2 linked regions of the Oryzias latipes genome follow. The protein of the gene in region 2 purifies or fractionates together with the protein of the main gene of each other region. This does not show direct contact. Links are inferred from orthologs where the notes say so. Each region holds a gene or a part of one and is shown on either strand. Other genes may lie near its edges. The genes, in order: calcium/calmodulin-dependent protein kinase kinase 2 and obsl1.

The links.
Region 1: the proteins of obsl1 (region 2) and calcium/calmodulin-dependent protein kinase kinase 2 purify together in Homo sapiens (affinity purification with mass spectrometry; 4 studies listed by BioGRID and IntAct, with this or other methods). This does not show direct contact. The link is inferred for Oryzias latipes from reciprocal best matches to the Homo sapiens genes OBSL1 and CAMKK2.

Annotation. Positions count from the first base shown.
Region 1 is NC_019870.2:16,125,215-16,129,713, forward strand, and holds the start of calcium/calmodulin-dependent protein kinase kinase 2, read right to left. Parts: upstream 2,854-4,499; 5' UTR 2,523-2,853; intron 1-2,522. Other genes in the region: snrpd3 (small nuclear ribonucleoprotein Sm D3), read right to left, coding at 3,588-3,652, 3,786-3,978. UniProt on the Homo sapiens protein: Calcium/calmodulin-dependent protein kinase belonging to a proposed calcium-triggered signaling cascade involved in a number of cellular processes. Isoform 1, isoform 2 and isoform 3 phosphorylate CAMK1 and CAMK4. Isoform 3 phosphorylates CAMK1D.
Region 2 is NC_019860.2:13,810,599-13,814,416, reverse strand, and holds part of obsl1 (obscurin-like protein 1), read right to left. Parts: coding exon 3,642-3,818; intron 2,860-3,641; coding exon 2,745-2,859; intron 2,632-2,744; coding exon 2,471-2,631; intron 2,398-2,470; coding exon 2,125-2,397; intron 2,041-2,124; coding exon 1,765-2,040; intron 1,679-1,764; coding exon 1,403-1,678; intron 1,331-1,402; coding exon 1,055-1,330; intron 982-1,054; coding exon 706-981; intron 621-705; coding exon 351-620; intron 281-350; coding exon 14-280; intron 1-13. UniProt on the Homo sapiens protein: Core component of the 3M complex, a complex required to regulate microtubule dynamics and genome integrity. It is unclear how the 3M complex regulates microtubules, it could act by controlling the level of a microtubule stabilizer.

The sequences.
Region 1 (4,499 bases), on a different chromosome or scaffold from region 2:
GTTTCATTCAAAGATCAACGGGGCAAATGCGTCTGCAGAGCTGAGTGAGCGATAAGCTCCTGGTAGTGCAGGGATGGATGTCACTGTCATCCTTCATCTCCTGACTTAATTGAGGCATTAACACACACACACAAGGCGGATAGAAAAACATCCATTCTTTCACCTCCAGATCAGCCAGAACAATAAAGATACATACATTTATGTCACTAATGAATTGTTTGCTTTCAAACAAGAACATGTTTTTTTTTTTCAGAACTTAACTTGTTTATATATATATAAGTACAGGATCTGTTTTTGAATCAATATATATATAATGCAGAGTGATTACTAGAATCGAATAACTTAAAATAAAATAAAAAACGATGTATTTTATGTTCATGTTGAGCACATTGCTGCTTGCAGTTTATCCACTTCTGCTCGTCCAATCCTCATGCATTACAACTGAGATGGACACAGATGATTGTGGTCAGCTCCCTAGACATCCTGGAGCTTCCAGCACTTTATAACTCCCTCCAAAAAAACAACAACTGGAAAGCAGTGTCATCCTAATATAGGAGTGCTACATCCTGTTACACAGAATCATGCTGATTTCATTACTGCAGAACTTTCAAACATGCATGTGCAGTGCTGCACATTGAGGATGTTTAAGAACTGTCCACGCGGGTGAGGAACCCCTTTTAAAAAAGCAGTTTATTGAACACGTATCGGTTGTTTTGAAGCACCACCATTATTTCTTCATGTAGAATCCGCTTCAGGATTGTGTCATGCAGCAATACACACTTTCATTTACATCAGAAATTGCATTTTCTGATTTGGTTATAAGTAAGATGAAAAAAAAAGAACTCTGTATTGCCCATATTATGAATATCCATGACTGATCTACAGTGAGATTTAGTCTGACAAAATCATGTTTGTCCAAATTTAGCCTAACCGGCTTACTGTAAAATCTAAAATAAACGATTGATGTAACGCAAATACAAACAAATCTTTACCCTACAAAAAACTCCCACTTAAAAAGATGAGAAAGGTCTGTAAAAAATTCACACTTATTTTCCCACAGCTCCCTTTAAACCTTTACACAGTTTTTTCCAAAAGAAGACTAAAAGAACACTGCAGTAATAAGGCTGTAATTCTGAGAGCACATGTGGGTTTAGGAAGCAAAGCTCTCACACTGCAAAAGGAGGAGAAGAACACTAATCTTAAGAAGAAAATCCCCAGAAAGTAGTAAAATTATCTATCCATGCACCAAGGAAGTTTTACTTAACAATATATCAAATATACAACAGAATTTAGAAACAATGAATTCCCCACAAGCATTGAAAAAGGCTGTTTGATGGAATTACTTCAACTTGAATCGTAAACAACCCGATAATGTTTTTTATTGCTAGATAAGCACATGGTTTAGGTTTTTTTTTAAAGGTTTTTATTAACCTAATTGTAGTTAAAAAAAACTAGAGTAAAAGTGGAAATGGCTCATTTTAAAACAAAATATGAACAAAGTGCGAATACCATCTTGGAACAACAAGTTGGCCAATCTTAATAAATCCTCATAAAATGTTTAAGTAGCACTTATATTTAGAAATCAACATTTTGGTTTCCAAAATAATGGCAGTAATTGCCAGTCTCACTTTTCAACATTTATTGAGCTTTAAAATAACATCGATTACAGTGCTGCCTTTCACCTCAGCAAATGGAGTTGGAGCAAACGGTTGGGAGTCATTTCAATAATATTTTTATTTTTTCTGCTCGTGTGCTAATTTTGAGAAAAACTTGGAAAAGTGTAGAGCAAAGAGAAGTTATATATATATATATATTATATATATAAGTGATACTCGTATAAGGTTTTGTTTAACCCTAATTAAAAAGCTTTAGACCTTTTCAAAAATATATTTGAGGAAACTATAACTTTTTTAAATCTCTTCAGTGTAAGTTTCAAGACATGTTTACCTAAACAGGTTTTTCTCCACAAACATGTTTTGAGATTCAATGTATTGGATTTTCACATTAATTAAATAAAAAATAATAGAAACAGGAAAGATTATTCTATTTTAGCTTACAGTTTGGTTTTTTTTTTCACTACAGAATTGTGTAATTGTGGATAAATATTAAACTTTAAATCCACCAAAATATTGTTTTGTACTAAAAAGTCCTAATAAATAACTGTTGACTTTAACGAGTTTTACTTAGCTATAATAGTAGCAATGTTTACATCTTTACTTAATGACACCTCAAACAGGAAATTTATATTTAGGTTACCTGTTAAAAATCATATTTTATTATTTATATATGTATTTTCTCTGTCAGAAAGTAAACAGAGTGTTGTTGTTTTGGGGAACTAGTAAGCTAACTGTCGCAGACTTTAAGTGGAGCAGCTGCGCTAGCATTAGCACCTGCTTCATGATCTGTCAAAATACAGATGTTGGACACGTCAAGGGAGACGGCGCGACTCTGACGTTTACCACAAAACATTGACACTTAAAAAAAACATAGCAACAAAATAAAAGGTTTGTTTTAAATCTTACCTTGAAGTGGAATTTCTGTCCCGTAAGCCGGAATATTGAAACGCCTTTTTTCCTCAGCTAAGGTTTAGCTTCTGCGAGCTAGCTAGCTGTTGAGGAGGCGTAGCAGATGTTATGATGGATGAAGCGAGCTGAAGCGCTCAGGTCCTGAGCTCCAGGGAAGGCGACAGTGTTTTCAGATTTAGCCGAATATCCACTGAAAATCCACTAAGGCTTTCGAAATCGCCTTTTCACCCTTTCGTTTATCTCGCCACTTCCATAAAATTCACTTCATGGTTTTTCTACTAATACTTTGGTAGCCGGAACACTCCCCCTTGTGTTGTCAAGTAAAACAGACATTTCCTATTTTATCTGCATTTTATCTAAAAAATTTTTGCTGGCGTTAATAGAATTCCAGGAAATGGAGAATTAAAAAAAACGTATGGATACTGATTGAATTAAAAATATTTTGGGGCTATATTTGTGATATTATGAAGGGGGGTTGGGGGTCAAGTTTATGAAGCTTTTTATTTTAGTTATTGTTTAGGGATACATTTTTAAAGGCAAAGATTTTTTTAGGGTTCTGAACCTTACACAGGGAAAAAACTGCTATAAAGAGCATCTTTCTAATCTTTTTAAAATCGTTTTAATGCAAAAGTTAAAAAAAGTTATTTGACATTTGCAAAGCCAAATATTTTTACCTCCGTTATTCATATATTTGAGCTTTTGCAGTTATTTCTAAAATGCAAACAGCAAGCTAGTTTTTTTTTTTCAAACTACCAAATTTACTTTACTTTTAAAAGTTTAAAAACTAATTCTGCTCAAGAAATCTAACTTGCACCTTGAACGGAAAAATGTACTGCTTTTAAATAAAAAAGAAATTAGATAGTCAGCATGTCAAACAAGTACAGGAATAATAAAAACAAGACAAAAGGGATATTAATTTAAGACATTTTGAAACATCTTTTATTTTTGTTTAAAAAAAAAAGAAAAATTCAAGAACTAACTTGCAAAGACAAGATTGCAAATAACAGACAAGTCATTCAAGTAAACGACATGAGAAAAAATAAAAACATTGAAAAGGAAAAGCTATCGTCTCTTCTGGAAAATGTTGCCTCTTCCCATTCCACCACGACCTCTGCCTCTTGCAGCCACTGCAAAGGGAGACAACAAATTCAGAAATAATTCAGTAAAAAAAAAAAAAAAACAGCATTCAGGAAGCAGGGTGTACCAAGAATAAGGAAAAGTGGACACACCATTTATCAGCATTGGTTAGGAACCACTCACCTTGTGCTTTCAGAATGGCCGCTTTGCCTCTTCCTGCTCCAGAACCCTGGTTCTTGTTCTTCATACTCTTTAACATTGGAGCGTTCTTTAACATGTCTGGTAAGATCAGAAAGCGGATCTTGCTGCCACGAATGTACACTTGTTCCAGCTGGGCAACCCGCCCGTCACGATAGGTTACTGTGATGTTGGACATCTGTTGGGACATAGAAATAAATGGTTCCGGTCTTAGATTCGTAAAATGGCTTGATACACGTTTACAGTGTTCAATGGAATGCAGGTTAACATTTTAAGTTATCTGTTAAACTTGGCAATGCAGTTCTCTATTTGAAAACACATTTGTAGATACTTCATTTAATCCCTTAAAATAATTTCTAACAACCTTTTTGATTTGTCATTTGATTAATAAGAAATCTACAATTATTAACAGAATATACGTTTTAGAATATTTAGCGTTTTGTTAAAGCCTTCACACTTATCTTTAGAGTACTTTTAAGACACACTGAGCTTTATCCACCAAAATTTCTGCTTTTAAATGAAATAAACAGATTTGGAGTCTATTAAACTTTTACTGCACTAATGAAGCTTGAAAAGACTATCAGCATTGACAGGATGTTTGGGAAATATATTTAGTTACAGTACTCAATACTTTAAGAAAAATGGCTTTAAATATTTCAAGGACAAATGTGCATATATGACCAGATAACTATACAGATT
Region 2 (3,818 bases):
GAATATTACTCACTTTTAACTGTCAGTACTGCAGAGGTCCGGTCATCTCTGGACTCACAGGTATACTCGCCCGCGTCCTCTCGGGTTAGACGGTGGATGGTCAAACTTCTTTCAACCCCATCTGCCCGGATGGAGAACCTCCTGCTTGGCACCACTTCCTCACCATTTCTTAGCCATTGCACATCCGCTTTTGGTTTGCACACCTCACATCGTAGGGTCACCATGCCATCGGCGTGAGCCACAGTGTCTCGCAGCGGCCTTAGAAACTTGATTCTCATTTCTCCAACACAAAAGGGGGGAATTTAAATCTTACATTTTCCATCACTTATGTTGGATAACATAATTTTTACCTTTGACCAGCAGACTAAAGTGGAGTTGGTCGGTGTTGGCATCACACGTGTATTCTCCGGCATCAGAGCGTCTCAAGGGCTCAATGGTGAGAGTGCGTTGATGACCCTCCGTGAGAGCACAAAATCGCTCGCCCTCGACAGGTGTCCAATCTTTAAGCCAACGTACGTGAGCAGTCTCCTTGGACACGTAGCTTGTCAAGGTCACACTCTCTGCTTCGTAACCTGTCACGACATTATCCTCCTCCTTGTTTACAAATGTTACGGGAGGCTCTTAAACAAAAAAGACGAAATCAATTTCAAGTGACTTCATGCTTCTTTTGTCTAGAGCTTAGAGACCCACTCTTGAGTTTGGTACCTTGAATCCTGACCGTGCAGATCATCTTATCGTCAATGGCATCGCAAATATACTTTCCAGAGTCTGACGGTTGGATGCAGGAGATAATAATTTTTCTCACCGCTCCGTAGCTTTCAATGGATGTGCGGGAATCACAGATGAGCAGTTTGTCATTACAGTACCAGCTAACAGGGGCACTGGCTCGGGACACTTCACAGGCGAGTATAAGGTCATCCCCTGCCACCATCTCCTGGTGATCAGGGTCATATGAGTTTCCTACAATGGTCACGGGTGGCTCTACGAGAAGAAGAGTTATTGGAGCTATAGTAGTTTTGTTTTAAGAAATTTCCTCAAACAGCTGAGTCGTCACCTTTTACTGAAACCTGGAAACCGATACTGTCGTCTCCAACATCCAAGAGGTATTTCCCCGAATCAGTGAGTTCAGCATTGAGGATGACAAGTGAGCGGAACGCTCCTTCTTCTTCCTCACAGAACCTTTCATCCCCCTCTATACGAACACCATCCTTGTACCACTTGGCTTTAGCGTTTTCCCTGGAGAGCTCACACTCTAGGACAATATCATCTGAAACCAAAAACTCCAGGTTTGTGTTGATCTCCGACTTTCTTAAGATCAACACAGGTGGCTCTGAGGAAGAAATAGATCAAAGTCTCAAAACTGTTCATTGACCAGGGAAAATATTTGCAAGGACATCCTTACCTAAAACTTTAACTTGGAAGTCAATTTTATCATCGGTTGTGTAGCAGGTATATTTCCCAGAATCTTCTGGAGTAGGCGAGTGAATGGTTAGTCGACGGATGAACTCATCTTCCGTTATGGTGACGTTACTGCTTTGCTTTACTTCTTTACCATCAAGCCACCATTTGACTTCTGCTGTTGGCCGCGACACTTCAATCTCCAAAACAATTGGTTTACCTGCTGCCCTAACCAGTTTTTCCGGTATGTTTTTGGGTCGAGAAAGTGTGACTGGCAGCTCTAGATTAAAAAAAAAGTTTTTAGAAATTAAATGTAAGGAAAAAACTTTTTGTCTTGTTTTAAATTTGAAAAATCCCTTATTTCACCTGTAACAGTCACCAAGAAGACCGTAGAGTCGTCTTCAGTGTCACAAACATACTCTCCTGTATCCTCCACTGTCGCTAAGGGTATAACTAGTAGTCGTTTGGCTTCATCCACCTCCAGGATCAAGTTAGGACCTTCCTCTACTTCTAGATTGTCTTTGTACCACCTAACTGGGGCATCCACTTTGGAGATCTCACAGCATAGCTCCAGCCTCTCTGACGCCAAGTGTGTCACTTCTACTTCTGAATCGCTAGGAGAAATAATTCTTACAGGTGGTTCTGCAAGGCAAATTTCTAAAATTAAATTCAACACTAATCATTGAAACCTAGTTTAGCCATTCCTTACTTTGGCTTTACTTTTACCTGTCGCAGTAACCTGAAAGAAGACGGAGTCCCCATTGGTTTCACAGATGTACTCCCCGCTGTCCTCCTTACAGCTGCGCAGGATGGTCAGTTTTCTGTAGGGACCTTCTGACACCAGCTGGATTAAGTCATTATCCCGCACCTCCTCGCCATCCTTCAACCACCGCACCTTCCCATTGGAGCGAGATAACTCGCACTGCAAGTTTATCTCCTCTGGTATGTAGATCTTCATCACTACATCCTCTTTAGGTTCCACAATCATAACTGGAGGTTCTGGAAGATGAAAAATGTCTTTTGATTCCTACTCTGGATTGACAGTTAATAATGTGAATACAAGAGGCGATACCCTTGACATTGACGGTAAACACCACGTTGTTCTTTCCTGCCTGGCAGGTGTAGCACCCAGCATCTGAGCTTTCTGCAGAGCGAATAATTAGTCTCCTCATGGTTCCTTCCACCTGGAGAGTTATGTTGTCACTTGGTTGGACCTCCTGACCGTTTTTATGCCTAAAGCAATCCATTCAGGGGTTTTTGTTGTTGTTGTTGTTTTCTATATGTAAAGTTTTCTGAACATTTTCTACCTTCTACTGTCATCTAGACTGCAGGAACGTCTTGCTTACCATTTGACTTCAGCATCCTCTCTGGAGACATGGCACAGCAGCACCACGGGGTCCAGCTCCATGCTGCTCTTAATGAGCTCCTCCTCCTGCACTGGAGTAAATTCTACAGGGGGACCTGAAGAAATACAGGAGGAAGCTACCAAATACAAGGTACTACCTCAAATTGAAACTTTTCTATACTTCATTTGATTAAAGTTTATATATGAAGTTCCAAGACTCCACACAGTGACATTTTGTTGATATTTTTGAACAATTAACACTTTGATAAGATTTTTCACTTCAATTGAAGTCCCACTCCGATCATCTTTTGATCAATTGTAAAAGCGTGGTAATGCTGTTTTTTAAAAAAAAAAAGACTTTTGTCACAGTGTCTGCAGAACGGCAGTAGTTGATTAGAAATTTGACTCTGAGTGTGGGCAGGACCATCTGTACAGAGCAACCCTGCCGCCCTTCCCCTCCCCGTTGCTGGGAGCTCTCTGTTTACATGCTTTCCTGCTAGTTTACAGCGCGTTACAACCCTCAACGTGTCATCAGCGGTGCAAAAAAAAAAATGGCACATAGGAGCTACCCAGCTGTATAGTTTTGAGCCAGATGCCCGCTCAGATGAGGGAAAACACAGAGGAACATGGATTATTTGGAGAACATGGAGTATTTTCTATGTCACAAGTATGTTGTTTTTCAAACTGCATTTTTTTGTCAAATACACAGAAAAGCAATTCTAATCTTAATTTTATTTATATACTGTGTCTGTCATCAGAAAATGCCAAAAAAAAATTGAAAAACACATTTTATTTTTTATTTTGATCAGAGTGGGTCTTTTAAATCAACCAATAGGAGGAAAACATATTTAATTTAAGCTATGACACATGTTGCAATTTACCAAAAGTGTCTTCTTACCTGCAACGTCTACATTAAAAGTGATGACGTCCCCGGGCATTTGACAAGTGTAAACTCCAGAGTGTGACGCATTAGCAGACTGGATCACGATTCTCCGCATATTGCCCTCTGCCTGGATGTTGAGGCCTTCCATCACCTCAAGGCCGTTGCCATCTTTAAACCAGGATACCTTTGCGA